Oreochromis niloticus: one gene and its partners. The protein of the gene in region 2 purifies or fractionates together with the protein of the main gene of each other region. This does not show direct contact. Links are inferred from orthologs where the notes say so. Each region holds a gene or a part of one and is shown on either strand. Other genes may lie near its edges.

Evidence for each region.
Region 1: the proteins of RNA-binding protein MEX3B (region 2) and mycbp2 purify together in Homo sapiens (affinity purification with mass spectrometry; 3 studies listed by BioGRID and IntAct, with this or other methods). This does not show direct contact. The link is inferred for Oreochromis niloticus from reciprocal best matches to the Homo sapiens genes MEX3C and MYCBP2.
Region 3: the proteins of RNA-binding protein MEX3B (region 2) and ap2b1 purify together in Homo sapiens (affinity purification with mass spectrometry; 4 studies listed by BioGRID and IntAct, with this or other methods). This does not show direct contact. The link is inferred for Oreochromis niloticus from reciprocal best matches to the Homo sapiens genes MEX3C and AP2B1.

The regions. Positions count from the first base shown.
Region 1 is NC_031987.2:22,597,361-22,608,101, reverse strand, and holds the start of mycbp2 (E3 ubiquitin-protein ligase MYCBP2), read right to left. Parts: upstream 4,122-10,741; 5' UTR 3,650-4,121; coding exon 3,378-3,649; intron 1,350-3,377; coding exon 1,274-1,349; intron 1-1,273. Other genes in the region: scel (sciellin), read left to right, coding at 9,664-9,682. UniProt on the Homo sapiens protein: Atypical E3 ubiquitin-protein ligase which specifically mediates ubiquitination of threonine and serine residues on target proteins, instead of ubiquitinating lysine residues.
Region 2 is NC_031977.2:21,261,161-21,271,367, reverse strand, and holds the start of RNA-binding protein MEX3B, read left to right. Parts: upstream 1-6,118; 5' UTR 6,119-6,558; coding exon 6,559-7,162; intron 7,163-8,111; coding exon 8,112-8,350; intron 8,351-8,532; coding exon 8,533-8,578; intron 8,579-10,207. Other genes in the region: tmed7 (transmembrane emp24 domain-containing protein 7), read right to left, coding at 1,340-1,576, 2,529-2,774, 4,119-4,277. UniProt on the Homo sapiens protein: E3 ubiquitin ligase responsible for the post-transcriptional regulation of common HLA-A allotypes. Binds to the 3' UTR of HLA-A2 mRNA, and regulates its levels by promoting mRNA decay.
Region 3 is NC_031975.2:24,342,984-24,352,897, forward strand, and holds the start of ap2b1 (AP-2 complex subunit beta), read left to right. Parts: upstream 1-5,943; 5' UTR 5,944-6,098; intron 6,099-8,319; 5' UTR 8,320-8,337; coding exon 8,338-8,374; intron 8,375-8,491; coding exon 8,492-8,597; intron 8,598-9,914. Other genes in the region: tectonic-like complex member MKS1, read left to right, coding at 431-564, 1,158-1,240, 3,803-3,900, 4,241-4,344. UniProt on the Homo sapiens protein: Component of the adaptor protein complex 2 (AP-2). Adaptor protein complexes function in protein transport via transport vesicles in different membrane traffic pathways.

The DNA of each region.
Region 1 (10,741 bases), on a different chromosome or scaffold from region 2:
TAATTTTAAAAACAGTCTAACAAATAAATACAAATACGGGAAATCATGAAAGGAGACCAAGCTATCAATCACGAGAAAAAATAAAAAAATAACATGAGACATTATAATCAAAGGTGACTGTGCTTATTGCAGATTTTGTTATTAGAGCCTTTATTTACACGTGAAGGTCTCACTGAGTTTCACACCTTCTTTCTTTTTTTTTTTCTTTTTTTAAAGGAGTGACCTGGCCAAGAGGGCAGCAAACAAACAGAATGCAGTTTATATGCAATAAAAGGTCAAGGGAAGAAAAAAAACAAAAAAACCCATTTAACTTGAACTCATTTTAAGACCATCTCCTTGAGAAGCAGAACAAGCCCTTTAAATGACTTTCATTCTCCCACAGCAGCTCAAACAACTGTTTTTATACATCTATGGAAACAGATACATGAGAACCAGGCCACGTATCTGTGAGGGGGGTGAAGATAGCTCTCAACTCTTTGCCATTTGATCACAGCATAAACTGAGATTTGTCTGCATTTAACACCAATTTAAGTCGAGTTGACTGGGACTGAACAGCATCAAAGGCAGACTGCAGGTACTCATGGTTTTGTAGTACAAAAAAAAGATGAGCAGTCCAAGGTTAAAACCTATAAATCTTAGGACCCTGCGAGGTCTCCACCTGAAAGAGAAACAACAGCATCCTCTGATGCAGGCTGGGATCCCTCTTTGGAAGGAGGAGACTGAAGCAGGCAACTGTTGCCGTGGAGATGTGGAACACATTAGGTTGCTCGGCAACAGGCCATCATGCACAAGTCAGAGCCACTCCCATGTGTCTCTCATTCTGCCTATCCACCACGCAGCTTCTTGTGCGGACGGGCTTACTGGCACCCGACCGACCCAGACTTAACGAAAACAACATTTGCGCCAAATACCCTCCAGACAACAGAGGAGCTAATCTCGCCTTTAATCTCATCCTTAATCTGTTCAATTCGTTCAATACAGTCAAGCCAGCTACAAAAGACAAATCAACGCATTTGCAAACGTGACAGTTACAAAATAAAACTGATGTTTTCATTTACACGAGGAGAGAAATTTAAGTACATAAAGTATACAATTAAGCTTTATTTTAAGGAGGACTGAGAGGGTTATGAGTGATTATTTCCTACTAGAATATTGCTACTACTTTTTATAAAGTAGTAGCAATGTTTAATAAGGATTTACAAATACAGCAAAGGTAGTCCAAGTCAAAGTTTAATATTGCCTAACAGCTTTTAGACATTAAAGCATCTCTTACCTTTGTTCTTGATTTGACTTTTGACTTGACCTTCTGTCGCCTTTTAAGTTTCTTCTTACTCAATGCCTTCTTTCCCCTGGAAGCAAACAGTGATCAGTTAGTTTTGCAAAACTGTGCTCTCTTTTAGCAAAAACGCTGGACTTCTTGTCAACACTCAAACCATGTAGAAAGCTTGCTCAAGCTATCATCCAAAGGTGAAAGTGTAAAAATGAAATGGGCACAACTGGATCACTTTATTTTTAAAGCAAAGGTCAAAATTGTACTTAAAGAGACAGCACATAGGAACACTTCAGACATGAGGGAAGGTAAACATTTCTTCTTCATGCAAGGTTTCAAACTATTTCAATGTCAAAATCTTCTATTCTTTCTAACGTCCCACACAGCTGTGTCGATTTCATTTTTGTTTCACTCTGCAGAGCGAGCAAAGCGGAGATCTATAAGCGCAGTTCACCTTGCTTAACCGCCATAAGTGCGTCAGGAAATTCACATTCACTGTTGCCTCTCATATCAAACCTTCCCAAAATAGGCACTAGTTTGTTTCTGCAGAAATTCCCCTTTGATGCCTTTGAGCTGTCACTTAAATCTGTTTTGCAATGGCTTTTTGTGGCCAGTCTCTCTTACAAATCCACCTGTCAATAAGATGTAATACGAAGCTAGAAATAGAAACACCACTAAAATTAGTAACCACAGTTACTCACTACAAGAAAAAGCATTATAAAAGATTTACAAGTTTTAAGTGTCCTATTTTTTTTTTTAAACTAAATAGCATAGCTGAATATTGCTTTCCAGCACCATACAAATAGCATAATAGCAGGTCTCAATCAAGACTGATCCAGATACTCCTTTTTACCAACTTTCTCCAAAGAGCTTCCAAAACAGGCCAACTGAGCATGCCTATGAGTTTTTAAATAAGCAAATTAGTGGCAGATGTTAGTTGAAAAGGACATGAGCAACCAACTAGACAGACTGACGATTTTCTTCTGCCTGCTCCTTCAAATACACCAATTAATTCAGCATTTGTTTATAAAAACAGAGTAGCGTTCAGCATTATGTTGGCCCTTGGTTAAAGCAACCATTGTACACACTGAAAACAGCAATTGGATTTGTGAGGGGAGGATGCAGCGATGATCCAGCTACTCAGTCTACAATCTGACTGACTAGAATGACGTAAGTGTATTACCCGCTTATGCTAGAACAGCAAATGAGTTCAGCCACTTCCCTACACATCCTCACCCAAACACGGCTCACGTTTCAAACAAGTGTGTGCACAGTAGCAATAAGCAGTTAATGTTTTGTGTTTGTTTGTTTATTTGTTTGTTTGTTTATTTTTAATAGACAACAAGCCAAAGTCAGCCTCGTGAATTTTTTCCTCCCCCTTTAACCGGTTTAAGTTAAGGTAACCTGGTGAAAGGTCGGATGCTCCGAATAGCTAGCTCACAATGACGCCGTTGGGCCTAATTAGACACACAACACCACTACTTAACCGGTAATAATGGGTGACAATGAAGTAAAGTGACGGCTTAATAAATAAATACATAAATAAACAAACATATTACACAAGTGGGGCGCATGTTTGCATTTAGCCGGATCGCACCTCACTCAAAACATCACAAACTACTCCCATGACAGCTAGCCGGCTAGCTCGTTTTGGACGCGAATCCACCCCACGGAGAGGTTTTTCTCGAGTGGACATGTCTCGAGTAGAAAAACCTTGCATTTTAGTTGCAGTGTGTCAGTTCATAGCCGAAGCAGTTTGCACCGGGAGTGCAAAGCCCTCGCATCAGGGTGAACTAACGTAACGTTAGCTTAGATGGCTCCCATAAGCTAAGGAAGTCGAAGTCAAAATTGCTACCTAGCAAGCTAACCCCGCAAACAAATTATGGAGTTCCTGACATACTACCCGTAGTTAAAACATGCGCTTGTGTGACAAAGAATGAGATGCAACCAAAACCATATATAATAAGAAATATGCGTGGAAGTTAGCTCATTGGTATTGACTGACGCACCGCTGAGCAAGGGTTACTCTTAGCTTCGTTAGCCTAGTTAGCCCTACAAATGACAGCCCAGCCTCCGTGATATTTTTGATTTCATTTTATCCGCTCACCTTCCTTGATTTATCCCTTGCTCTTTATCGTTGATGGCGGTGGTATAAATCCGTCTGTATCTCTCCGCCAGGGCTCGTCCTGAGAGTAAAAGCTGGTACCGAGTCCGACAATCCGACTGGACTCCGGGTGTCGGGCAAGAACCCATCCCCGAACCGACGGTGGAGAGGTCGGCTCCTGCTCCAGAAATGACCCTGACACCCAGCCCCATCGACGGCGATAAGGAGGGCAGAATCCCACCACCGGCGGCCGCTGCCGCAGCAGCACACATCATCGTTTTGCAGAACAATGCATATATATGTATATATTACACAAAAGATATCACAGCCAGATAATCTCTAGCCATCAGGCGCAATCCACGTGTCGATGTATCCGCCACATGTCACATCATTTGTCGGCTACGAGCTGCGAAAAAACCACAACGAGCATCCACGGTCCTCAGTGGTTAGAAGCGCAAATTGTAGCCAATCTGGTGGTGCAGCTAAAAAACCAGTGTAGTCTTGCGATCCGGCCGCAGCGTCAACACGGTGCTCGACTCCAATGACGATCCTCTCAAACCATAACTGAAATTTCTCGCGAAAAAGCAGAAACGAAAGCATTCATTTAGAAAAATCGCATTGTCGAGTTTCGTTTTTTGCTTCGTTTCTTGAATATCTCTTGACCCCGGAGAGGCAGCACCCTCAGTTGGGCTGCCATCTTAGCTCCATCATCCCTCCCCTCCCTGGCCGAGCCTTGCGTCGCCAGCATGCCGGGATATTTTCATACGTCTGAACCGAGCGATGCTATCATTGATTTAGCTGATCAATTACCTCTCTGTGTACACAATCGCTGCAAATGCGTAGTTCACTTTTCTTTCTTTCTTTTTTATTACATCAGAGAAATAATCGTCGAGGCTAAGGACGGCCTCATAGATCAAAGGCAAACCCGCAGGGCTATTTTTTGAACACTGTGCACAGTTGGATTGTGGACATTTAAATTGTAGAAGTCAATACACCAAGGGCCCCTCCCAGGTTGATCTAAAATTGGCACACACACATGCACAGATGGATTGCTCTTGGAATCGTTGTCCGCAATAAGAGTGACCTTTAAAAACAGAGTTGCATATTTTTAAAACTGTTTTGATTTTTTTTTTTTTTTTTTTTTTTTTTTTTTTTTTTTTGTTTGCTGTACTATTCCGTTTAGCATTGCTCCATTTACACAGTGAACCCTGTGTAGCTGTGAACCCTGCCCTTTGATCTACCTTCTTGAACTTCTCCTTAGCTGGCACCAGGACTGCAGTTATCGATCTGCCGTCCCTGTTAATTGATCTTCACCGTGCTGCTGTGGGGGGATTGTTCACTGAGTGTGATTGTTTTAGCTTCTCATTACTGCCTCAGAGTAAAGCTGCACACTACCGAAGTGCGTCAGCTATGCATTACCCAGATTGCGATGGTGATGGCGATATTTTAAAGGGTGACACAAGGGTGCAGGGGGAGCTGCGGAGCTGCAGGGAGAGAGAGATAATAAAAAAAAAAGGAGAAACACTGTGTTGGGTAACATCAAAATAGAAGCAAAGGCCAAAAAAACACCCTACTGCAGTATAAGGTTTACAAGGAAACAGGTGCTTATACTTTAGTGTGTGATATAGCAACGGATGATGCAATTAGCAGGTCATGTTTCAAACATGCTTGGCTGCATCCTTTTAAATGTCTGTGCATGTGGAGGGATGTTTGCATTTATTTGGCGACAGAGAGGGAGAAAGAATGACAAAGGGGTACACAGGCCCTAGTGGTGCTTTATTGGCTGCACAGCATTGCAATGGCCCAATGACAAGAGAGAGGTAGGTCTGCTGTCTCTTCTCATAGCAACCGAGAAAGCATTCAGAGATTATCAGTGTCAGAGTGCAAGCATGCATCTCCCATGACAAAACCTGAAGAATTGTGCTCTCACAGCTGTCATGTGAAATATTAGAAGTGAAAAGCAGCTCTCTTCAAGTGCATCATAGCAGTTGTAATGGTCTCTACGTGGCAGGTTATGAAAAGAGCACGATTCGGTATTGAAGATGCAGTCGCATCCAGAGGCTGCTCCCTTATTAACCCCTGGTTTTCTCAGCTCTGGCCAGTTACAGTAAATAGAGGGAGGAGGGGCAGGGATGCCTGGGCAGAGTGGAAGTCCATATAGGACACAAACATGAGCAGAGCTGACAGAGATGATATCCAGCCCCCTCAGACACACACACAAACACACACACACACACACACACACACACACACACACACACACACACAGGAGATGAGGCTACTATTAGAGTCTAAGTAGGTTGTTAGGTTTTACGTTTTAGGTTATAACCCTGATCTCTTAATATCATAGTGTCTCAGCATCATCAGTATTGACCTGACATAATGTGCCTTGACAAAATCAACTATATGGATAGAACTATGTCAGCCTTCATTCATCCTGGGAGATGAAATGTGGTGTTTAAAGTTCAAGCAATTAGTTTCAAACGTGGGTAATCTTTTTCAAGCATCTATCGTATTTTGTTTCTTTTCATTCATTGAGAATATTAACGATCTAAAACCCAGTAGGACTGTGTTTCTAATGGCAGCTAATGACTCCTAATGTGTTTCTCTACATGACTGGAGAGGAAATTAATTGGTTCCTCGCACACATCGATGTGCCTCATTCATGCTTGAATGAAAGTGCTGATGTTGACTCAAACCTCTTATGTTCAGATTGCTCGGATTAGAGTGAAATGCATTCACTGCATTATTATATGATTTTTTCCAATTGTATTTCTTCTAAATAGTGCAGTTGTTGCATGTTACAGCACCATACTATAAAGGAAAACTTGAGCTCTTTGTCAGGCAGCTAAATTGTTTTTTGTGGGGGCACCAGCTTCCAAATCAAATACAGGGAGCTATACCTGCTGGGGTGACCCTTTGTGACTAAAGGGGCAGCTGAAAGTAGCTTCTGCATTTATCTGTTTGGTATTGACAGTTCATATTTACAACTAACTCTTTCAGTCATCTTGATAGCACAGGTTATATTTATTCTTTTCTTCTGACTCACTAACAGTAAACTCTTAAGGACACGTTTTGCCTTGAGCAACTTGTCTTACATTTATATATTTCCACGTAGCTAAGCAACCTGGAAAATAATTTCTATCATTATAGCCCTAGCGCCACCCAGTGTTGATCTTTTACTTAAATGTTGTAAAGTCTGTAAAGAGAGCAGAGGAATCTCGAACTCTAAGGAAATGAATCTAAGGCTTCTCAAGCTGCTCATTAATATACAGACAAGTTCAGCTAGTTAAAGACAAATCATAATCATAGCTGAGAGGGTATTTCCTTCAAAAATGTATCTTTTAAAATCTTTGCTTCAGCCTGCTTTAACCTTTAATGCAGGGCTGGAAAGCCTGCATTCTTCTCGTACTGTCGCTGTGACTAGGAGGATTTCACCTATCAGTATTGTGTTGTCACACCCATGGATGTTATGCACCTTTCATACCTATGACCATTCAAAAGACGGCACTCCCAATAATCAAGCTCACACACAGACAGTGCGACATTCGTGCTTCAAGTCTGACTGTCACTTGACATTCTTAAGCATCGGTCTGAGACCTCCCAAGTCTGTCACTGAGCAAGTCAGGTATGTCGGTTTGGCTGGCAGGAGACATTATTTAATCCGCTGAACTACACGCGATATCAGAAGAAATCTCGTTCAAAGTCTAAATGTTTAAGGCAGCAGAAACACCTAATCAGTCATCAGTAGCCAAGCTGCTTTGCGACCAGACATCAAAGGCATAAGGTCTGAGTTTGAGTTGTTATGAAATTTTATTGGACCTCGGTGATGTTAGATAACAAGTATTTTTATTATTATACAGGTATAAATTATCCACTCCCATCCAAAGTGCTATAAAGTCAAGGGGATGTTGATACATGGTTATATAGCGAGGTAATCCACCCAGAGGTTCAAACATAAGACCTAAGGGGAGACCCCAATCCAATGAAGGAAGGCACCAGTTTTGAACTTTTAACTGTACCTTTGTAGGTTTTACAGCTTTTGCTACTGATAAGGACATAACTGGCATAACTGGTACCTTTGGCAACTCCTTCAGAAATCTACATTAAATATAAAAACCAGGGTTCTGGTTGAGCTCCCTACGCTAAGCTGTAGGGCTATTGCAAAGGCTCAGGTTTGAATAGGCAGCATGCCATTTGCTGTCTGTCTCCAAGCTTTACTCTCGACTGTCGTACTAAATGCTAAAAAGCCTCCAAAAGTATTCAAATACACCCACAGGCCACTTCATTTAGTCTACCTGCAAAGCTGAATGTAACAAAAACACCACCGCAGAGAGCATTTACATTTAAAATCACAGGCAGCCGAGTACACTCTTAGCCTCATGACCCCAATAGAATTATCACCTTACTGTCAACATCAACAAAAATCCAGAGAATTCCTAATAGGTGGAATTTATAGCAGAGCTACCAGACTGGATACATTTGGTTAGAAGTGTACCTAATGAAGTGACTGTTGTGTGTGCACGCTTTATATTTCTATCTTCTATTTACATTGTATCCCAAGATTACTTTCTAGTGTTAAAAATATATTTATGCAAGTTCAAGCATGTAGTAGGATTAGGACAGAGAGAATCCCACACCCGCGTCGCAGGTTTGCTTCCTCATCACTCAAGTTGAGCTGCAAGTCTTTCAGCACTCCACCCAGTTCCATGTTTCTTGGTAAACAAGCAATTAGGAAACATTGATGACGGCGATAGAAGCATGTAGAATGAGAACGACAGAGAGAGAAAGCCTATTCTCTGATTCTTCCGTAAAGCCACGCCCGTGGGTGGCCTTGAATCTCCACTCCCTTAAGGTTTAAAGCAGAAGGAATGACAAGGGTGTGATTGTGTAGCGTGACAGACAGGTGTTGAGACCTGAGCTGAAGTGAGAGTTTTCTATCAAGTCAAAGAGGTTTCTGTGGAGGTATGTACCCTTTCTCTCTGTGTGGGAATCTTTTATCAGTCTTTTATTTTAGCTGAAACTGTGTGTAATGATGTATTAAAAATACACATGATAAATTGAGATTGTATATGAGACGAGTTTTTTGAGGTGGTGTTTTGCACTGAGGCATAAAGGAAAATAAATCAGAGAACACACTGTATGTCAGGTTATGTAATGATATCATTGTAGTGTTCATGTCAGATTGCACTTCTTTTGAGGGAATAATGCATAATGCATACCTTACAGATACAAAGAGGAGTCAGAACAGACTGATTTGCAGGTGTACGCTCAAAAAAATCACCCTAAATAACGATGAAGAAATTATTTTGAGTAAAATGCGATTGAAAGTGATTAAATCAAAATGTTTATTCATTCAAAAAATTAATCATAATCAAGGAGAATATGCTTGGTAAAAGCTGAATGTATAAAATCAAGTGAAATTCATTTGATCGGATTCCATTAAATGTAACATTTTACGGTAAGTTGTACTTGTGTAACTAAAAATGACATGGAAGTTTTACATGTAATCAAATTACCTAAAGTCAGCATTTTGGGCATAAACATTTTTTTTAGTGTACAGATCAGATCTGATAAACCACTGGCTGGATGAGAGATTTGATCTGTTTTATGATATTATCTGAAAACATGTAAATCATCTTTTACAAACTAGATGATGAACCAGTCTGTTTTACTGTGTAATATATATTTTTTGTCTATCAGATAATTAAATATCCAGTAATACATAAAAAAATGAGAAAAAGCACTCATTAGTTCAATATGCCATTTACAATTATAACTTCTGTCGAGGCTGTAAGTCTACCTCGAGGTTTATGATGTATGTTCATCGTGGAGGGTGCAGATGAAAGGCCGCAATCTTTATCATCAATAGCCTGTGGCCTGTCACGCCTTTAAAAAGCTCATGGTTTTGCTGACAAAGGCGTGCTTGGAGAAGGTGTGTTGTGGGTGGGTGTGTCCCAAATGTGGGTACAAATCAAGACTAACCAGTTTAGGCTTAATTTTTTTGAGTCTGGGGTTAAACACAACTTTTGATTTACTACAGACGCCAAACCCAACAAGGCAAGCTCATAAATCCAGTCCATGAAGTGCATATGTGTGCTGATGATAAGTATACAGATGGCAGAAAACTGTGATTGCTGGTTCACTTCATTATGGAGCATAGAGAATACCAATGGCACATGAAAGGTTTTAGCCTAGAGTGCCACCCTGTGGCTAATGAGCTGGGGTCTTTTTTTCTATTATGTGATCCATTTTCTTGTTGTGTCATACTTACAGGTGAAATTCCAAAATGAGCGCTTTCAAAACTGGTAAGTTGAGAACTATCAAAGAAAAAAAATTTATGAACCAAATTCTAAGCAATGTGGATTTTTTTAAATAGCAGATGCAAGACTGAAAGATTCCAGTAGTTACATGACTCTGCTGCATATTAATTATGTTAATGATATAGAGCTAAACCATATTTGTTTCCCTTTATTATTGCACTCATTGAAATAGGTTAGATTATTGCTTGTAGTCAAAATGAGTATGTAAGCTAAAAAGAATTTGTTAAATAAAAACAATGGGGAAAAACAGCAAAATAGACTGAAAGATATATAGTATATTAATTATATATAGAGATATATCATTCTATATATTAATAGTGATATAAATGAATACAAAAAATTGAATCACAAAATTTTAATAAAGACATTTTAAAAACAGAGTAGTTTATTTAATCTAAGAGTTAAAATACTTACAAATTCACGAGCCCAGTATTCATGTTGGCCCCATACAAGCTATATGTTAATTAATTTTTTTTAAAAATACAACACAGTGAAAGAAACTACAGCTTGAATACAGCAATGTGCAGTTGTTGCATTGTGCAGTGGCACAGACGAGTCCTAAAATGCTAAAAGAGAGTATTCAGAACACTACAGCAAACTGAAAAAAATGCAAGCTCAAAAGCTAAGAACTAAAAGATTCAAGGTTATAATATAAAAGTTAACAACTGAGGAACCCAAGGAGAAAATGGCAAAAGATAAGAGCTAGAAATCTAAAATGGTAAATGGACTGGTTCCTATATAGTGCTTTTCTACTCTGTCTGAGCACTCAAAGCGCTTACACAACTAATTCATTCACCCAATCACACAAGCACTTCTTCTAAGCTAAGTGCTAATTATCTAACATTCATACACATTCACACTCCGACGGACGCATCGGAGAGCAACATGGGGTTAGTATCTTGCCCAAGGATATTTGGCATGCAGACTGGAGCAGCCTGGGATCGAACCACCGAGTTCGATCCCAGGTTAGTGGCTGACCTGCTCTGCTACCTGAGCTACAGCCACGCCACAAGAAACTCAAAGAACAGACTAAACACATACAGA
Region 2 (10,207 bases):
CCATTGCATGTGACCTACACTGGTACAAAAAACTACTCGCTGAAATGTGTGGTGAAACCCCGAAAAATAAACATGCACGTTTAAAATTTCTTCCTGCACTTCTAAATAAATGTCAAAAAAGGGTGAGATGAGAGTTTTGAAACATCAAATTATAACTCGGATTCACTTGAATTATCTTCTATTCAAGCAACAATTCTTCCATCCACACAAATGTTACAATATTGTTGTACAAAACCAAATGGACAGCGTCGGCTCAAAGAAAGACAATGACTTAAGGAACTGGTGCACTTCTAACAGCTGGCATTACCGCTTAACAGACAAAACGATGCATTTTTAAATACAAGAATGAGTCATTTCTTTTTTGTCTGCCACAGATTCACACAGATGTAATAAAAAAAACCAAAAACCCTACATCCCATATGTTATAATTTACCTTGATGTCCTCACACTTAAACCAACCAACATTTCCCCAACGTAAAAGAGAGCAAATTGAAACAAGAAAAGACTTAGTTTTAATTTATCGAGATTTTCTTTAAGGAATAGGGTTTGCAGTCACTCGTGGTATAACTTCTGCATTTTAATTCAATCCTTCAACCCAACAACCACCTTGTGAACAAAGGGTGTCAAACTAATATTGGATTAAAGGACTGCTTACTCTCTGCAGAGCACAGCAAACTCCTTTCTAACTACTATCTAAAATGGCAAAGTTGATCAAAACAAAAAACACATCTACCATTTCTCACTTAATAAAGTGAGTTTTAGTAACACAGGAAAAAAATGCAACAGATTTTTCATAAACAAATCCAACCTTCGCACTGAGAGTGCGGCTTTTGAGAGCTAGTGCAGATAAAGACAAATATCCGCAGTATCATTATAATATGACTACATTTAGTCCCAGTGTCCACTCGGGTGCTTATTTCAGAGCAGTTTGGGATGAAAAGTGGAACAGATCATGAAGACAGGGGTTAGAAAAGGACACATTTAAAATAAGAACACATTTAGAAATCATTTCAAATATTCAAATGACTTAAAGTTTTTCTTTAGCTATATGGCCGGTGCTTGAACTGCTTCAAATACAGATAGTTACAAGCAACACAATCAAGTCTTCCTCCTGTTTTTTTTTTTAAATCCTCAAAAACCCACAACTATTTTTTCTCCTCAAGACTAATTTGCATAAAGTTGTAAGAACAGCTGTACTGATTTAAGTAGCCGAGTCAGATTGTACGACCTGGCCGCTTGATATGATTCAATTACAGATCAGTGCGGCTGTTCCTATGCACTCCATGCACACAAGCCCAAGAACAGACAAAGGAAGTGATGAGTCAGATCTCAGAGGCTGTTATGAGCCCACACGTGTTGTCGTGGTCTTCTTGTCAGAGAAGAAGCTTCTCAGCAGGACCACCTGGCTGATGCTGACCACCAGGAGGATAATAGCTTCTCCGATGGACCAGAAAGCAACGCGGGTATTGAGGTCCTCGGCACGACTGCGTCCCTGGGCCTCACGGAGGCGAAAGTGTGTCTGATAGTCAATCACCGACTTCAGAGCCTCATGGATGGACACGCAAGCTGACTCCATCTGTAAATGGTGAAAAATTGGAAAACAAAACTGATTTTAGATCTTTTGAAGATGGCTGAAAATATTTACTAAATTCATCCACCAGGAACATTAAATCTGCACGGCTAGCATATATGAGGCTGTCATTTAAGGGAGGGGTGGTGCTTGTATTTATATCATTGGTAGTTTTTGGCAACAGTGGTTTAAGCATTGCTTTTTAATTATATTTCTTCAGCTAATATTACAGTAGGCAGCTGATATTTTGTGCTTATTCTAGTCTGTCTGAACAGACATGTTATTCTCTCTCCACTTCAGTATTTGAACGTCCCACGTCTCGCTGTCTTTTTCTGCCTTTAGTTTTGTCCCTAACTGACAACCACTATTTACTAAATCTAATGAAACACAAAAAGGCAATAAGGTCAAACAATTCCAGAAGCACATGCAGAAGCAGGAATTTCCCCCCCATTATTCTTGAAAGAATCACTCCAGCTCAGCCATATGTTTAGGATGTAATCGGCCTCCTTGAAGTAATTCCACACAAAGTTCAAATGGTCATTTTCTGGGTCTCTCTAAACATGATGTTTTCTTTGTTTAAAATCGTTCTTTGGTAGATCACTGGTTAGGATTACTGTCTTGCTACATCATCAAATTTCAGCCTTATTTTAGCTGATATTATCTTGTGAGAGTAGCCACAGTACCGAGTTTTCATTTACAGACAAAGCTTGTCTGGTGACTCTTTCCATCTGTATAAAAAAAAAACAACTTTGTAAGATGGCTGCTCTGCTTTTTTGTGTTATTTATCACCAGGATTTACGCGCTTTTAATTTAAAGAAACTCTGTTGGTTTATTTCTGCAACCAGGATGAACACAGGAGAACCGTTTAGGTTATTTCGCCCTAATAAATACAATGAAGCAAACATTAGTGAGAGAAACGGGCTTTTAACAGGTTTTTGTGTGAATCCTCACAGTTTACCTGAGTAAGAGCAGTGACTCTGTTCTCGTTGGGGAAGAGTGGAGGGTCATCGCCAACCTGAAAGTCAAAGTAAACCGTCTTATGCGTGAAGGTGGAGAACTCATTGCTGAAGCAGAATTTGTAGGTGCCATTCTTGGCTGCTGTGAAGGTAAAGCTGTCATATTGCTTCTTCATCTCCTTATAGAGTGTTGTGCCATCTGGGTCCTCCAAACGGCAGTCCACATCGTAATGACCACCGGTCACCACCTGGGAATGAAAAGCACAGAAGGAATGAGTAACAAAGCCAAGGAGGGGTAGGATGGATACTGACAAAGTTTTTGTTTTTAAAAAAAAAATAAAAAAATATCTATAGCGTTTTTGCTTACAGGTCAGAGTCTTTATCAATTTCATGTCTGAGTCCTGCACATATTTTCAGTGTCAGTGCAAATTAATCTGAACACAGTGTAGAAACAGAGTTTAAAAACAACTGCCTCAACATCAGATTGTTATTACACGATAATTATGCACACAAGTAAAAAATAAAAACAAACACCCAGATTAATCTTTATTTGCACTTTTTCTCTTTTTTGGCAAATACACTTGAAGCACCAGTATGTGATTATTGCACTTTAGAAAAAAAAAAATCAAAAAAATCAAAAAAATAAATAAATCACACAACACTATGCTCCTAATGAATACTTGTACAATAATTCCCCACTCGCCCTGTGGGCTCTTCAGCCCTTGGTATTTCTCCAGCTTCTTGTATTCCTTCTTCTTGATTCACTTGGTATAGCTACATCCATCACCATGGCCTTCTTCCTCTGATGGTCCACCATGTGGACATTATGTTTGATTGGTTAGCCATCACCAGTTTGTTGTTCGTCTGCGTCTGGAGGTCTCACGGGATGTTAGCTTGGGCCACTCTCAATCACCTTTGGAGTGTATCCCATTTTGACCTCTGGATTTCCAGGCCATACTCGTCACAGATGTTCCTGTATACTATGCCACACACTTGATTATGGTGTTCAATGTAGGCCCTGCCTGATAGCATCTTGCACCCTGCTGTTATGTGCTGGATTACATCTGGGGTATCTTTGCACAGCCTGTGTGATAGGCCTCGGCCTCTAAGGATCTTGTGCTACCATGAGTAGTGTTTCGGTGCTGTCTACCCTGTCAAACTTTAACCAGGCATTGGTACAATCTTTCAATATCAGCCACTTCTTCTATCTGTTTGTTGTACACCCTGTGTGTGTGTGTGTGTGTGTGTAGTTCTAGTCAAATGTTTAAGGCACATGTCACAGATAATGAATAAGATCATTTAATAGTATTTATTACTCATAACTCGGCCTGGTGCTACCTGGACACCTCTTATTAAATTTAAATATTTACCTGAAGATCTTTCAGGTAGAAGTAGAGTAACTGAGCTAGTTTACATTTCTAGTGTTTATCAGACATGCACATAGAGCTGTTCATGTCCCTGGGTTTTCATCTTTGACGCCTGATACAGATTTCAAGAGGACAATCTAGACTCGATTTAATTTGGGGGGAAAAACGACCTTCCGATTAGGATGATTCGCATGGATGCAAGGGATGGAAATAACAGACACGCACCTGGAACTCCAGGGTGCATTTGGTGCCCATGATGATGTCTTCGTAGAAACACTGTTTAGCGTTGTCTGGCAGCTCAAAAGTTAGCTCGGAGCCGAGCACCCACCCACAAAGCAGCTGGGCCCAGAGCACCTGCAGCAACACCCGAAGCGATCCGTACATCCTGAAGACTGAGAGCCGACAGCTTCTAAGAAAAAAAACTGTAAAAGCAACAGATTAAAAACTAAAACCGTCACTGAAGGTGGCGAAAATACCGACAAGGAAAACCCGGACACTGATATAAGCGGCTAGCTGCTAGCTTAAAGCTAACTAGCGAGCTAGCTGGTCTTTATATTTTAGAGAAAGAAAGAAGCTCGGAATTTGTAATATGTTTCAATGGTTGCTGTGTTGTTGTTTTATTAGGACATAAGTAGTAACAGGAGTTAAAATAAATCCAAATATTTACGATTTTATATTATGTTTTAGTTAGAATTACCTACTCACCCCAAAGTCCTCACCCGGATGCAACTAATACTAAGACGCGTATTACTAACGACACACCTCATTGGTCGTCATCCGTAAAAGCCCGCCTTTGCTTGCTCGCACTGGTGGAAAAGCATAAAAGGAGGAGCCATTGTGACATCACGTGGGCCACAACCACGTACGCGTGAGCAAAGCGTATCTTCCCTTTTATTACCTGAATCCAGGGCTACAACGTGGCCGCCGGTTAAAATGAAAGTGAAGTATGTTTCGCAGTTTGAATGGAGTAGAAATGCTGCTTAAACCCTATCGGTATAGCATTGTGGTTACAATTATGTTACTTATAACTAAATTTCATTAGACACATGAAATGTTTAGTAACACATTTGGGATATTTAACCCCTATGGCGGCGTCACATTCTGGCAACCAAACATGTTTTTTTTGTTTGTTTGATTTGTCTTGTTTGTTTATTTCCTTATTATTTTTGTTATTACACTGTACCTTAAATTTTATATTCATTTATTTTTATATAATGGCACAATATATAAGGAGTAAGGGTGTGAAATAATCTTTAAAATGTACCTGTATGTGGATGAATGTGTGAAGAAGTATATTTGGTTGTTGAAAGGAAAATTTTGATTTCATTTATTATTAGAACAACACTTTGGCTCGTTGTCTCAGTTGCATTTTGGATTTAGACCACTTTCCCAAACTACTTTGAGCTCTACTTTGGGTCCTTTCTGTATGGTGTAAAAATGAATGACCGACTTAAATATTAGTGGATAGTTTTCATTCACAATTTGTAGTAGACTTAAATTTTAAAGGTTATCGTGCCCGCTAATAATCTTCTTTCCCTGTGTGTTTAAAACAAATATATAGAAAAAAATTATTTTTAACAAATTTTTTGCTGGAGTTGAACATTACAAAGTAACCCCTGAAATCATGAAAAAGAAATATTGGTAAGGTATTACTGCCTTAGGTCTTGAGTACATATTAGTATTTCTGCTGTGCTTTGTAAGAATTAAAAACAAAACTATATCATTCTATTCATAGCAGGCTTACCTTTTAAATGTAAGTTGAGGACAGTTGTCTTCAAACCCTTGCACTTTTCCACTTAGAGATGTTATGGCAAGGAGCCAGACTTACATCGATCTTTAGGCTCCTCTTGCCTTGCTAATAAAAACTCTCCATGCCTTCATTATACATTTACATCCCATCCCTATAAGCATTTATATTTATCTCTCGATCTTTATACCAACAAAATGCACACTGAAAACACCACAATGTCTTTCTCTCACATCTAATATACATGTACTCATTTACCACTTTTGGGGGTGTAACTCATGCCAACACCCACAGATGTTGTATCATTCTAATATTCCCATGACACAACACCCCTCATAATACATGTTGAGTGCATCTTCCTGATAGTTGTGAAATTGCATCTCACCCTGAAAACAAGCTTCACATGAACAAGCAGTGTGTATGCAGTGAAAGCAAAACAAGCCACAGAAATCAGTCAGATGGATTTAATGGTTGGCTTAAGCAGGAAATATATCAAATGCATTATGAAGCAGGTGTCGAATGAAAGTTATCAAAAACAGTCAAAGGTTAAGAGGAAAGACTAGAGTTTAAACGAAAGTGGGAGAAAGTATGTGTAGGGAAAGGAACGGGGGACGACTTTTTCATCATACACATTGGACCACCATTAAAATATTCAACTTTTTCTGAATGTTGAAATCATTGGCTCGACGTCGTAATTTTCACTCCATACCACTTGGGGCAGTAATGCACCAAATGATCGAAAGCCAGCTGTAAATACGCCACAATAAAGAAGAGAAGAGGAGCGCCGTAAGACAAAACAAAGCCACACATTTCAACGAACAGGCGCTGGTCGCTTTTTTATTTTTATTTTTTATAATCAAATAAATTTCATTCATTATTCATAACGATTACCGGCAATATCAATAAAAGACTTGCATCATGCCGAGTAGTACGTCTTTGCTGGAGGCCGATGAGGGAGAGTCCGAGGTCCCACCGCCGCTCCTGCACGCTTTCGCCGGTATGGGCCTTGACGAGCAGCACGGCGCTCACAGCCAGACGCCCGAACTAGCTGACGAGAGCCTCCCCTTTCACCATCTCCCGCTCTCCTCGGTCTCCCATTTCAGCCTCCTCGGTACGGTCCTCGACTTGAAGCCCTTGCCACTGCCTCGTCCGCCCTCAGGAGACGAAATGAACAAAACGGCAGCGGCTGAGGACGAGGAGGAGCCATTAGTTGCAACCGATTCCTCGTTGCTAACGCAGGCCCACCACCGCAACCAACACCTCCTTTCTGGGCCGGCTAGCTCCGGGATGGAGCACATCGAGACTGTGTTGCTGTACAACGGAGACGAGCGGGACGATCCTGCGGTCGGCGGCGCTCTCCCGCCGGCTAACAGCATGACGATGCTACCGTCCGGCGGGTTCGGGGAGCCGGATTACGGAGAGGCCGAGACATCACTGTTGAACCGGCGTAAGAGCGTAAACACGACCGAGTGTGTGGCCGTGCCGAGCTCGGAGCACGTCGCGGAGATCGTGGGCAGGCAGGGTGAGTCGCTTTCTTTTCGACTGCTTGTGGAGCTAACGTTAAGGTGCTAACGGAGTTTAAACTAAACTTTGTGGGAAGAGTTAGGCAGGACCGAAATAAGGGGCAAAATAAAGGAACTTAAAGAATCGTGATTTTATCCTCTAATTAATTAAAGACGTGGAACAGAAAAGCAACGAGATAAAACTAAGTTATAGTTTTAAAAAAATATATATTTTTGTCGCGAGGAAAAGTGGCATACTCAGCTACTAGCTTAGCATTCCTCCCCCTTCAAACTGGGTCAACAACAACACCCTCGCCCAACGCCCTGAAAAAAGTTTACAACTAAAGTTTTATTAGTCTCCAGAACCCACTCTGTGGCCTCGGTGCAGTAGCTCGCCTGTATCACGGGTATGCTGTCAGTGAGCCTCCCCGTAGCCGTGCTTTGCTGTGCTAAACCAGCCTGGGCTTTGTCTCGGAGGAGAGGGCATAAAGAGCAGCCGGTGTGTCGGACACCATTCCTTTGCCACATCAGCTGCAGGTTATAGTTAGCTCCGTGACATAACCGATATGATTACAGCTAAATATCCCCTCGATGTTCTTAGACCCTTATATGTGGTCTTTGTTTTATATAAACTTTACATAGATGGCTGGGCTGGGTTAGTAGGGCAGTGTGATTATGTTTGAGAGTAAGTTGGGGGATGGTGCACAGACTGCGGTGTTGACAACAACAGGAAATGGCTCTGGTAATGATGCTGGACTCTCAACCACTGCAGAATGGAATATTTAATTTATAAGCTATGCAACTTTTATGTGGCATTAATGACTGGAGACCTGTGCTGTAGTGCTTGTGTCATGATCTTTTATTAGTTCATTAGTTTATTAGGAGATGAAGAGTTTCAAGAGTTTAATGTTGAATCTGTGCAGGTTAATGTGGTTCCTTTATGTGCTTTTTAACTTGTCCCTGTGACAGGCTGTAAGATCAAGGCGCTTCGAGCCAAGACCAACACCTACATTAAGACACCAGTGAGGGGGGAACAGCCAGTCTTTGTTGTGACAGGACGTAAAGAAGATGTGGCCATGGCTAAAAGGGAGATCCTGTCTGCGGCTGAGCACTTTTCCCTTATCAGAGCCTCTCGGAACAGGACGGGCCCTCTTACTGCAGGAGCCAGCCTCGGGACTCCGGCTTTACCTGGACGGACTACCATTCAGGTCAGCAAGCTTGACTTTAAATGGGAAAAAAAAATGTCATTCAGGGGTTGAGAACAACCGTTAGGATGACTCGGTGTTATTAGTGTCAGCATCCAGGCAAAATTGTTGTATAAATAAGGCTCTCTGTTGTGTTTTGTATTTTAAAGTGTGTATAGCTAACCTTTATCGTTTTAACTGTACAGGTGCGGGTACCATATCGTGTTGTTGGGTTGGTTGTGGGTCCTAAAGGTGGGTATTTAATTTGTTTTGTTTGCATGTATGTAACTGCTGGAAGTCATAGTTCTAAAGAAAGTCTCTAAAACAAAAATCCGAATTGCCCTTTAGCTTAATTATATGTTGTTTTAGCATAGATGGCAGGAAAGGTGTGAAACATGCAATTTAGGACAAAAAGAGTCAGAAAAACAAATTTCATGTTCCCAGATGCAGACTAAAAGTGTTTTTTGGATGATATAGGCAAGACACTATGGGACTATTCACAGATTTGTAGCTCTGCTATCAGGCCCCACATCTAACAGCTTCTGTTTCTGTGTTGTCTAATGGATATCCTGTATTTCTAAAAGCCTCTGCATCTTGATATCCGTCAGCTCAAGTCCAGAAGGTTCCCTGTCGCTCTTAGCTAGTCTTTGTACACATTAGCACCTGTGTGTGAAAAAGCCCTGAGGCTGATTATGATTTGCTCACTGGAGTCTTTAACTCTTTGCCCTGTTGACATTACCAGCTGTGTGTCAAATAGCTCTGGGCTGTGTTTTTTTTTTTTTTTTTTTTTTTTTTGTGTTAAACCAACCTGCAACGGTCCTTGCGATAATACCTGTAGAGGAAGTGGTGACGTGTCAAAAAGAGTCACTGGAGTTGAAAACTTAGGAGGAAACACTGCGTCACACAAACACAGAGTCGAGAAGTGTGCTGTGGAGTATTTACAAGCAACAAAATGCACTCCAGGATATTTTTCTTGGTTAAAAACACAGTATTGTCATTTGATAAGGTTTCCACATTAGATCTGAGTTCAGTGTTGTGGTCAGGTGGTGTGGATTTCAGCCAGGTGAGTCAGTAGGCCAGCCTGTAGTTGAGCACTGTAATTATTGCACAGCTGTGCTGTTTCCATTTTCAAAGCAACACACACAATGATTAAATAGAACTGAGTGTGGGGCGCTGGTTTGACTCACTGGGTTGAGCAACGGTGATGCATATGCTACAAGGTTAATGCTGAGGCCCGCTTTTGAATTATGTCTGTCTTTCTCCCAGCTTCTCTCCTGTCCTGCCCAAACAAAAAAAAAAATCTATAAAAAAAACAACAACCAAGAAAAAAGTGTAACTGCCATAAATGCACAATACTGTCGTTATGACTAAAATCTTGAGTATTTAGCTGTGACTGCAGTTTCTGTGTGACTCAGCTTGGCCTGTTTTGTCAGATTGTCAAGCTGCAGTTATTAAAAGATAAACAAGTACACAGAGCTGTTAGTGTTGTAGTCTGAGATTTTGATCGACTATTATTACTTTAGCTGAGATTTTTACCACCAGCTATTAAAAAATGAATGTGTGCCATTTGTTTGCTTTATATTGGTGGCTGCTCAAATTAAACATGGACAAAGTTTCTGATCATGAGGTTAAGGTTAGGTGACACTTTTGTTCAAGCACCTTTTTCTACTTTTGTATTTGTGTGATGTCAAAGGGGGGAGGGTATATTCCCAATACAGCCATCTCACTCCTCTGACTGTGAGGACCTAAGCCCCACCCACTTCCTGTTCAGACTCTTTGTTTTTATTCGCGTTAAGGAAGAGTGAAATTGAGGGGCTGAACCTGAATTAAAGCTCAGGGTAATGTAGATTATAATGACAGCGAAAATGAACATATTATAGC
Region 3 (9,914 bases), on a different chromosome or scaffold from region 2:
CAAGCAAAAAAAAAACAAAAAAAACAAACAAAAACAAAGCAACATACTAAACACAACACCATCACATTAATCTAGCTAAGTGTGAACAGCAGTAAATACTAAATATTGAAAGTTGTTGGACAGACAGCGCACAATGTGCTTTGAAGTAGCAGCTAAGAAAGGTGTAGTTTGTCTACGAACAGTGAACACCCGTGTGTACACCTGTGCGGATCAACGCGCTTGTATACAAAAGGTTTCCCCATGTAACGGTCTGCTAGAGGGTGTGGAGGCCCATAGCCCCGTCCCCCAGGGCATGAAGCAGGCATTTTATAATTTTTAAAATTTAAATTAAATTTCAGCTAAAAAATGTTGTGATAAGTTATAAAAATCACAACTTTTTATTGTCCTGCATTATATGTTTTGTCTGCATTTACGTGTGTGTGCGCGCCAGGTAAACACACGATGACATGCCACACATGGAGACCCCTTCAGATGGGGACGGTTTCTGCACTCAGGCGCTTCTTTATTGGAGGTTCTCCAGAGCTTGAGGACCACAGCTACGTCAGAATACCAGGGACATTCAAGGTGGGGTCAAAACTCTGCAGAGGCTCTATGGATCTGACAAATGTTTACACATAATTCAAGTGTATAATTTTTCTGTTTTGCTTAAAGAGGATTAGATTTAAAGATTTATTAATTTTTTTTAATGAAAAAAAGAGTGCAGAACTTAACAGCTGCTTAAAATGCCACACTGGATTATAAAGAAAATACTTAAACTTTGATTAGAATGTTTGCCTTTTTAAATCATATTCTAATTCTTGATTTAATAATTAAATGATTTACATAATACAATTAATAAACCCAGTAGGCTTACTACATTACTTAATTAAACTGGGAATGACTTATTTGTTAAACTACAATCTGTTAAACATTTAAATGTACCTTACAACAACTTAACATAAGTTCTGGTTACATTTATTCTTTATCAAAAGCAATGTGTGCATGCTTGAGACCTTACAAATGCAGTGGATAAATTTAACTCCTGGTACGATTATGAAGGCATTTTTTAACCCTCTAGTTTTATATACATGTTTTATGTTATGTTAAATATGATCATTTTTATTTTATTTTATTTTATTTTATTTCTAATATGTCTGTATGTCTGTGTGTGGCTGCAGGGGGAGAGGCTGAGTCGCTTTGGCTTCTGCACTGAAACCACAGGAAGTGTCACTTTTAATCTCAACTGCATTCAGCAAGCCAGGTAAGTAAAGCCTGGCTTCAAAAAAGTAGTGCATAGTGTGCCTAACAAATTTATTACATCACCACCCAATGTAAGGTTTATGCCACAGCTGCCCTAAATGAACAGTATTGTTAATTACCACAATCTTTTCTAATGTTTTGTAATGGTTAACCACCAAAATTTATGTGAGCTATTTAATCGAAATAATATTTTGAAAATAGTAAAGCACACTATTATTGTTGTTATTATTATTATTATTATTATTATTATGAATGAAATGAAAACACGAATTCCAGTCTAATAAAAAGGAATTTGATTTTTAGTTTTAAACAGCTGTTTGACAGATTTCTAAAATATTTGTTTTCTTGTTTTTATGACAAGTAATAAACTTTTTAAGTATTGTACCCAACATTTAATAGAGATATATAGTACTTATACAGGGAGTGCAGAATTATTAGGCAAATGAGTATTTTGTCCACATCATCCTCTTCATGCATGTTGTCTTACTCCAAGCTGTATAGGCTCGAAAGCCTACTACCAATTAAGCATATTAGGTGATGTGCATCTCTGTAATGAGAAGGGGTGTGGTCTAATGACATCAACACCCTATATCAGGTGTGCATAATTATTAGGCAACTTCCTTTCCTTTGGCAAAATGGGTCAAAAGAAGGACTTGACAGGCTCAGAAAAGTCCAAAATAGTGAGATATCTTGCAGAGGGATGCAGCAGTCTTAAAATTGCAAAGCTTCTGAAGCGTGATCATCGAACAATCAAGCGTTTCATTCAAAATAGTCAACAGGGTCGCAAGAAGCGTGTGGAAAAACCAAGGCGCAAAATAACTGCCCATGAACTGAGAAAAGTCAAGCGTGCAGCTGCCAAGATGCCACTTGCCACCAGTTTGGCCATATTTCAGAGCTGCAACATCACTGGAGTGCCCAAAAGCACAAGGTGTGCAATACTCAGAGACATGGCCAAGGTAAGAAAGGCTGAAAGACGACCACCACTGAACAAGACACACAAGCTGAAACGTCAAGACTGGGCCAAGAAATATCTCAAGACTGATTTTTCTAAGGTTTTATGGACTGATGAAATGAGAGTGAGTCTTGATGGGCCAGATGGATGGGCCCGTGGCTGGATTGGTAAAGGGCAGAGAGCTCCAGTCCGACTCAGACGCCAGCAAGGTGGAGGTGGAGTACTGGTTTGGGCTGGTATCATCAAAGATGAGCTTGTGGGGCCTTTTCGGGTTGAGGATGGAGTCAGGCTCAACTCCCAGTCCTACTGCCAGTTTCTGGAAGACACCTTCTTCAAGCAGTGGTACAGGAAGAAGTCTGCATCCTTCAAGAAAAACATGATTTTCATGCAGGACAATGCTCCATCACACGCGTCCAAGTACTCCACAGCGTGGCTGGCAAGAAAGGGTATAAAAGAAGAAAAACTAATGACATGGCCTCCTTGTTCACCTGATCTGAACCCCATTGAGAACCTGTGGTCCATCATCAAATGTGAGATTTACAAGGAGGGAAAACAGTACACCTCTCTGAACAGTGTCTGGGAGGCTGTGGTTGCTGCTGCACGCAATGTTGATGGTGAACAGATCAAAACACTGACAGAATCCATGGATGGCAGGCTTTTGAGTGTCCTTGCAAAGAAAGGTGGCTATATTGGTCGCTGATTTGTTTTTGTTTTGTTTTTGAATGTCAGAAATGTATATTTGTGAATGTGGAGATGTTATATTGGTTTCACTGGTAAAAATAAATAATTGAAATGGGTATATATTTGTTTTTTGTTAAGTTGCCTAATAATTCTGCACAGTAATAGTCACCTGCACACACAGATATCCCCCTAAAATAGCTAAAACTAACAACAAACTAAAAACTACTTCCAAAAACATTCAGCTTTGATATTAATGAGTTTTTTGGGTTCATTGAGAACATGGTTGTTGTTCAATAATAAAATTATTCCTCAAAAATACAACTTGCCTAATAATTCTGCACTCCCTGTATGGTTGGTAAGCTCTACATTATCTGCATTGTTATAGATTAATCACATTTCTTTGGTGGCTAGACTTTATTTGTTTCAACACAGCAGCAAATCTACAACTTCACAACTGTCTCCTATTTCACAGTCCCACAATACACTGTAATTTTATTTCTATGTTAATGCAGGTGTTGCAAATATAATATAATATAATGGTAAATGGCCTGTATTTATACAGCGCTTTTCTAGTCCCTAAGGACCCCAAAGCGCTTTACATATCCAGTCATCCACCCATTCACACACACATTCACACACTGGTGATGGCAAGCTACGTTGTAGCCACAGCCACCCTGGGGCGCACTGACAGAGGCGAGGCTGCCGGACACTGGCGCCACCAGGCCCTCTGACCACCACCAGTAGGCAATGGGTGAAGTGTCTTGCCCAAGGACACAACGACCGAGACTGTCCGAGCCGGGGCTCGAACCGGTAACCTTCCGATTACAAGGCGAACTCCCAACTCTTGAGCCACGATCGCCCCAAACCTCGGTTTGTTTGCATTCAGATGATAATCAGTGATAACAGGAAATGTTTTAATTTCATGTGCAGGGCCTTTGTTGATACTGCCATGCTGAAGAAGAGGAGGCAGAGAGTTTTTGACCAGCTGGGAGGATTTAGTCAGCAAGGAGCTGTTTGCACCATCCTGGGTAAGAAGTCTGGATTTTCAGGACCCACTGAGCTTAGGCTATGGATAAGTTTGAAAGCTAAACCCTGTGGGAAATCGACTCACTGAGATACAAGTTTCTTTCAGCACTTCAGTCTGACATATGTGAGATATGGATCGATTGGTTATAGCTTGGTTTGTTTTCTGAGCTAAAAAATGTGGACTAACATTAGCGTATTATTTCATACCAGTAATATGTAAAATCAAGAAAACAGTTAACCTTTTTTTTCCTTTGTTATTTCTGTGTGTATTTGTTATAAATTGCTATGTAAGCCTTCTCTGTATGTGTGTAGTATTCGACTGGTACTTTCTTCCTTTTGCAGAGGCCTTTCAGAGGGCCAGGAAAAAGATGCAAGAAGCCCGAAAAAGTCTTCCACAAGACCTGATCAGCAGCGCATCCCAGCTACAAATCGAATCCTCTGCTTAAGTCTGAAAAATGGAGTGAGGCTGTTACTGTTTTTTTTGAAGTTTAGATTATAGATTATCACTGGCTGTGATATAAGTGAATTTTTCTCACAAAGAGGAAAATCATGTCTCAATGTTTTAATTGTTGTATTTATGGCTAACATAGTGGATGGTGTACTAATGAAGTTACAATATGAGTGAAGCTGGTAATTAATAGATAGCAGAGCCATTATACCTGCTATGTATGGTTGTACCTGGCAATGCATTTTTTTTTATAGTCACGGTTTATATTTGATTTCAATAAACGGTCCGATTGTTGGCGTTAACTGAGGCTTTTAAAACCTTGTGAATATAAAGTAATGTTTTGAAAGTTTGGTTTTATATTTTCTATTGGTTACTTCAAATATCAATGTAGTTGTCATATTTGTTGTAATATAAACATTTTATATCAACTATTACAATTATCTTTAAATACTTAAAAAAATCTAAATCTTTTTTCTTCATGCACTATATTTTATATTTGGTATATGATATTTAGGGGCATTCATACAGTAGTTTAAAGCTGTTCACACAGTCTAGATTGTATGTAAAAGTATTTTTTTAAATCTTTTTTTGGGGGGGCGCTTGTCTTTTCAGATTGAGAAAATATTGTTTTTGTGTGGGTTTTCTTCTGTAGTTTGAGGGCTAAAAATGCTGGGGGGGGGGGGTTACAAAGTTTCCATGCTCTATGAATCACTTTGGTCCTTTCCACTGAAGCACAGGTTTTGCTTAGTGCAGTTCAGCATCTTAATAGATGACTTACATTCAATAGGATAGCGGCCCTCCAAGTCTGGAGTTCGACACATGTGCTTGAGATAGTTGAATTGTAAAATCGTTTTGGAGCCAGAATTGAACCAGTGACCCAAGAATTTCTGTCCTCCGCTCTACCAACTGAGCTATCGAAGGGATCATATACACCGCGTCTGATTTGTTGGACCATCGGATACATGGTACCTAACAGAGTCTGTGTTTTGCAAGAATTCCATGTTTCAAGGACTTGAACATAACAAAAATGTACCCGTCTGATTCAACATGTTCCTTCATGCCTGAGGCACTGAACATATTTCACATCAACATGAGTATCCTTCCTTTTTCCAACTCTTGGGCTGCGTTCAGACCCAGGGGAGTACTTTGCAGCCCCTGACTTGAAACTGCTTTGAAAAAGGCAGGACTGTACAGTGAAGGTGAAACGCTGATATTATGGAATTCTTTTCCTGGCTGTGAGGACACGGCGAGGTCCCTACCAAGAATTCCCTCCAGTGTTGCATTCATGATAATAGGAAACCGTGGCGTCATATGGAGTCATTTATTATGTAATGTAATTTTCCCCTTTAAATACAAAAGTTTGCACTGATTTATATTTGCTTGTGAATCCAATTACAAAGAAAATATAAACCCTGCAGACCGATTTGTCCACATGACCTCGAAACCGTGTGATGTCATTGCCGGTTGTGGTTTCCTGGATCTGCATATACATTTTATATAATACATCATTTATATTCGCAGATCTTAACTATACAAACATCTACTAACAGCCGTTATAAAATCAACGAAATGTGTTCGCTGCAACAACGCATCCTGGTATTCTTTACCTCAGAAGGGAAGTTGTCCAGTTTCCGATGAGTGTGAATGCACCATCGTTATCCTGGTTCTCCATCTTCCTCCAAACAGACGAAGGAGCAGCCTGCGTCTGACACCCAGTGGAATATTTTTCTCTTCTCACGTATACTCAGCAAGGTATGGGCGATATTATACAGTACAGGACCTTCTTTTAACCTTGCTGTCATTGTGTTGTGATTTTGTATCGACTGTATTTTTGCAGGGCTGCTCATCGTTTAGCTACCGTAAAGGCAGCTCCTGGAAACTGGGCCGCTGCTCACGTTTCTATTTTGACTCCAGATTTAACATAACGCAATCTTGTCATATCGGACTGTAAACCCAGGTTGATGTTAGAAGTTGTCTGTGTTTGGAGTTTGTTGTTAATATTTGTGGTATCGCAGTAGGGAGCGGATGTATTTAGCATCTAGCTAACGCTAGCTAAGTGGAAGTGCTGTGCCTCCCGGTTAATTAAAGCTAACCTGATGTTTGTTGAGAGGTCAAACGTCGTCACACCCAGAAACACAGAGCAGTTAATGTCACAGTTAGATTAGAGTAGGTTCTTCTTCACCATACAGATGAAGAAAATGGCTAATGCCGGCTAAAGTAAAGGTTTAATTCTTTAACATGTAACCCTAAGTACGTTTTCTTCAATGTAATAGCATGTTTTAGCTAGGGCTGTACAGATACACAAATGTGTGGTCACAGGTTTACATACAGTCATTATGGACATCGATATCATATGTTTGTGCTTTTAATGATTGCTCTGAACTTTGAATTCTTTTCCAGGTTTGCATGATTGCAGAGCTTACATCATTAATAACTGCAAAAATTTGAAATTATGTTGGATTTTCTCTCATCCACACAGATTCAAATATATACATAAACCCCCATTAATATTTGGTTAAGTGTCCCTTAGTAAGTTGCATCTTCCCCAGATGCTTTTGGTAGCGATCAACAAGCTTCAGCCATAATTCTTGCTGATCATTTGACCGCTCTTCTCGTCAGAATTGGTAAATATATCTACCGCCACCGTGCTTGACAGCTGGCACTCTGTTCTTAGATTTGAAAGGCGTACCATTATTCCTCCAAACATATCTCTTGTCACTGTGGTCAAATAGCTCAATCTTTGTCTCATCTGACCATAAAACCTTTCTCCAGAAGGCATTTTGCTTGACTATATTTCAAATTGCAGTTGAGCTTGAAGCAAGGGAGTAGGTGAAAGAGAGCCTGGAGAGGCAGAGATATGCTCTAGTGGAACTGACAAAAAGATGGAAGGCCAAGCTGGAGCTGTCACAGCACAATATGCTCGGACCACACTGGTCAGGTTTAGAAATAAGTACAGAGGGACAGCACAGGTTGAGTAGTTTGGAGACAAGGTTACAGAGGCAAGGCTTAGGTGGTTTGGACATGTGCAGAGGAGGGATAGTGGATATACCAGACAAAGAATGTTGAATATGGAACTACCAGACAGGAGGAAAAGAGGAAGACTGCAAAGAAAATACAAAAAATAAAATCCATGCATTTAGCGAAGGAGGGCTGGTGTGACAGAGGAGGATGCTAGGGATGGGATGGCAGATGATCCTTTGTGGTGACCCCTAAAGGAATCATCTGAAAGAAGAAGAAAGGGGAATGAATAATAACAAAAACAAATTAAACATAATAAAATTGCATTTGGTGCTTCCCTAGTGTGGTGCATTATGATAAAATTAAGTTGCCTATTTCAGAGTTTACTAGAACTTCATATACTCTGTAAAACAGTAGGGAGTGTATAATTCAGACATAAATGGTTCTCCTAACCTCTGCCAAACCCAGGATCCTCCATTACAATGCCTGAAAATAAAGCCTAATTAATGAATCCAGACTATAAGATTACAGTGCTCTGTAGTCCACTGGTTGTGTTTAACACCACTCCAGCTAATATTTGGCATTTTGCTTGGGGCTCTTAGGCTTTCATTTCCACATCACCATGCAAACCAGTGTCATGAAGCCACTTTACTGCTGTATGGATTTTGCTCAGTTATTTATTGAAAGGGGTGTTCTCCATACTTGTAGTGTAACCTTGTGTATTTGTAAAGCAGTTATTCATACATTCATTTAGAAACTAAACACATCAGGTTGGTCTGTCATAGAAGAAACCTGTAAAATTTTTAGATTTATTACTGACTGTTACAGTGTACTATGTTGGAGGCAAACCTGATGACTGAATCTCATTGAACTACTTTGTGGCTTGTCACCACATCACTTAGTCATATGGCAGATCAGGGAAGAAGAGGTACTACAGACTGTTATTGTATATTAAAGCCTCACTGAATGATTATGTAATATTTTTTAAATGTATTTATCTATTTATTTTTTACAGAACTAAAGGACAACAGTCATGACGGACTCGAAATATTTCACAACAAACAAAAAAGGTGAGTATGGAAGAGAAATTGTTTTTTGTTCATGTGGGCATGTTAGAGATTGGAAATTTATGGCAGTGTATATATAAACAGCACTGCTTTCAACTCTTCATCTGATTCATCTTTCAGGGGAGATCTTTGAACTGAAGGCAGAGCTGAACAATGAGAAGAAGGAGAAGAGGAAAGAGGCAGTGAAGAAGGTCATTGCTGCCATGACTGTTGGCAAAGATGTCAGGTATACTACAAAATAGAGCAGGGCGATATGACCAAAAATATTTATCACGATATACATTTGAAAATTTGCGATAACGATATAACTGACGATATAATTGACACTAGACAAAATACTTTACAACTCCACAACTTTATTAGTGCAAAAAGAAACCCATCAATGTATTTTCACTTAAACAAGCAGCTGTTTTTTATGTGCATTAAAGTTACATAAAAATGTAACACTGCAAATTCCTTGCGGACAGTTTAACCAAAAGCCATTTCCAGTAGAAATTGGCCGACATATCCTCAGCATAACCATGTATAATATCCACAAAACTTAAAAAGAGGTTATACACACACAATACGGTAATATTATGTTGAAGCACAGTACGTATCACTCCGCGAGGCTCCTGCCTGCGATAGCCGTAATGCTCCGACAATCCATCAAGCGGTGTGGGTTCGTAGCTTAGCAAAGTCGTACTAAAACATTTGACAGATTTTTGAGCGCCGTGTACCACATAAAATCATTTCGAGGTCAGTAAACACAACCAGAATTCATACATAAGGCACGCGGGATTATAAGGGGCACTGTCGATTTTCAGAAAAATCAAAGGATTGATTTTAAGTGTGCCGTATTTTCCAAACAACACGGTAATAACGACGGCCCGCTAGCATGTGCTACCAAAAATAGTGCTTTGTTGTGTATCTGACGGACGAAAGCTAAACCAGTTCCACACCACTGAAGTTGCAGCATTTTTACAAACCAACTCTGCTTCATCCGTTTCATTTAATGATCCACTTTCGCTCTTCTCATTCTGCGTCGCCGCCATGTGCGTATGTAAACATAGGCACTGCGCATGCGCGTTTTACCCACATTCTATCGCGATATTTCATTTTGCTATCGTTGCCCAAAATTACACCGGTATTACCGTGAACGGTATGATATAGCCCAGCCCTACTACAAAACTGTGTTCATGACATGCTTCACACAGGTCTATAATTATAACAGTGTGATAAGATAAGCAAATCAAAGTGACGTGGCTTCTGTGATTTCTCAGTTGCATTATGTGTTGGCACCGAATATCTTAAACAAGAAGAAAATTGTAGTGTTGTGCTCACTGACCAACAGACCATTGGATTAAAGTCCTTCACTCTCCAAAGTAATTCAGCTGCTGATATTTAACTCTGAGTTTTGCTTTTGGAAAGCTGATTAGTCTCATCCTCAGTAGACTGATATGTGGTCATTGTTTCCGGCTCTGCTTTTGTTTCCGCTGTTCTCTGCCAACTCCCAGGATATGTTCCTGGAACTGTCAGTGCTGCTAAGAGAGTAATAGTAAAT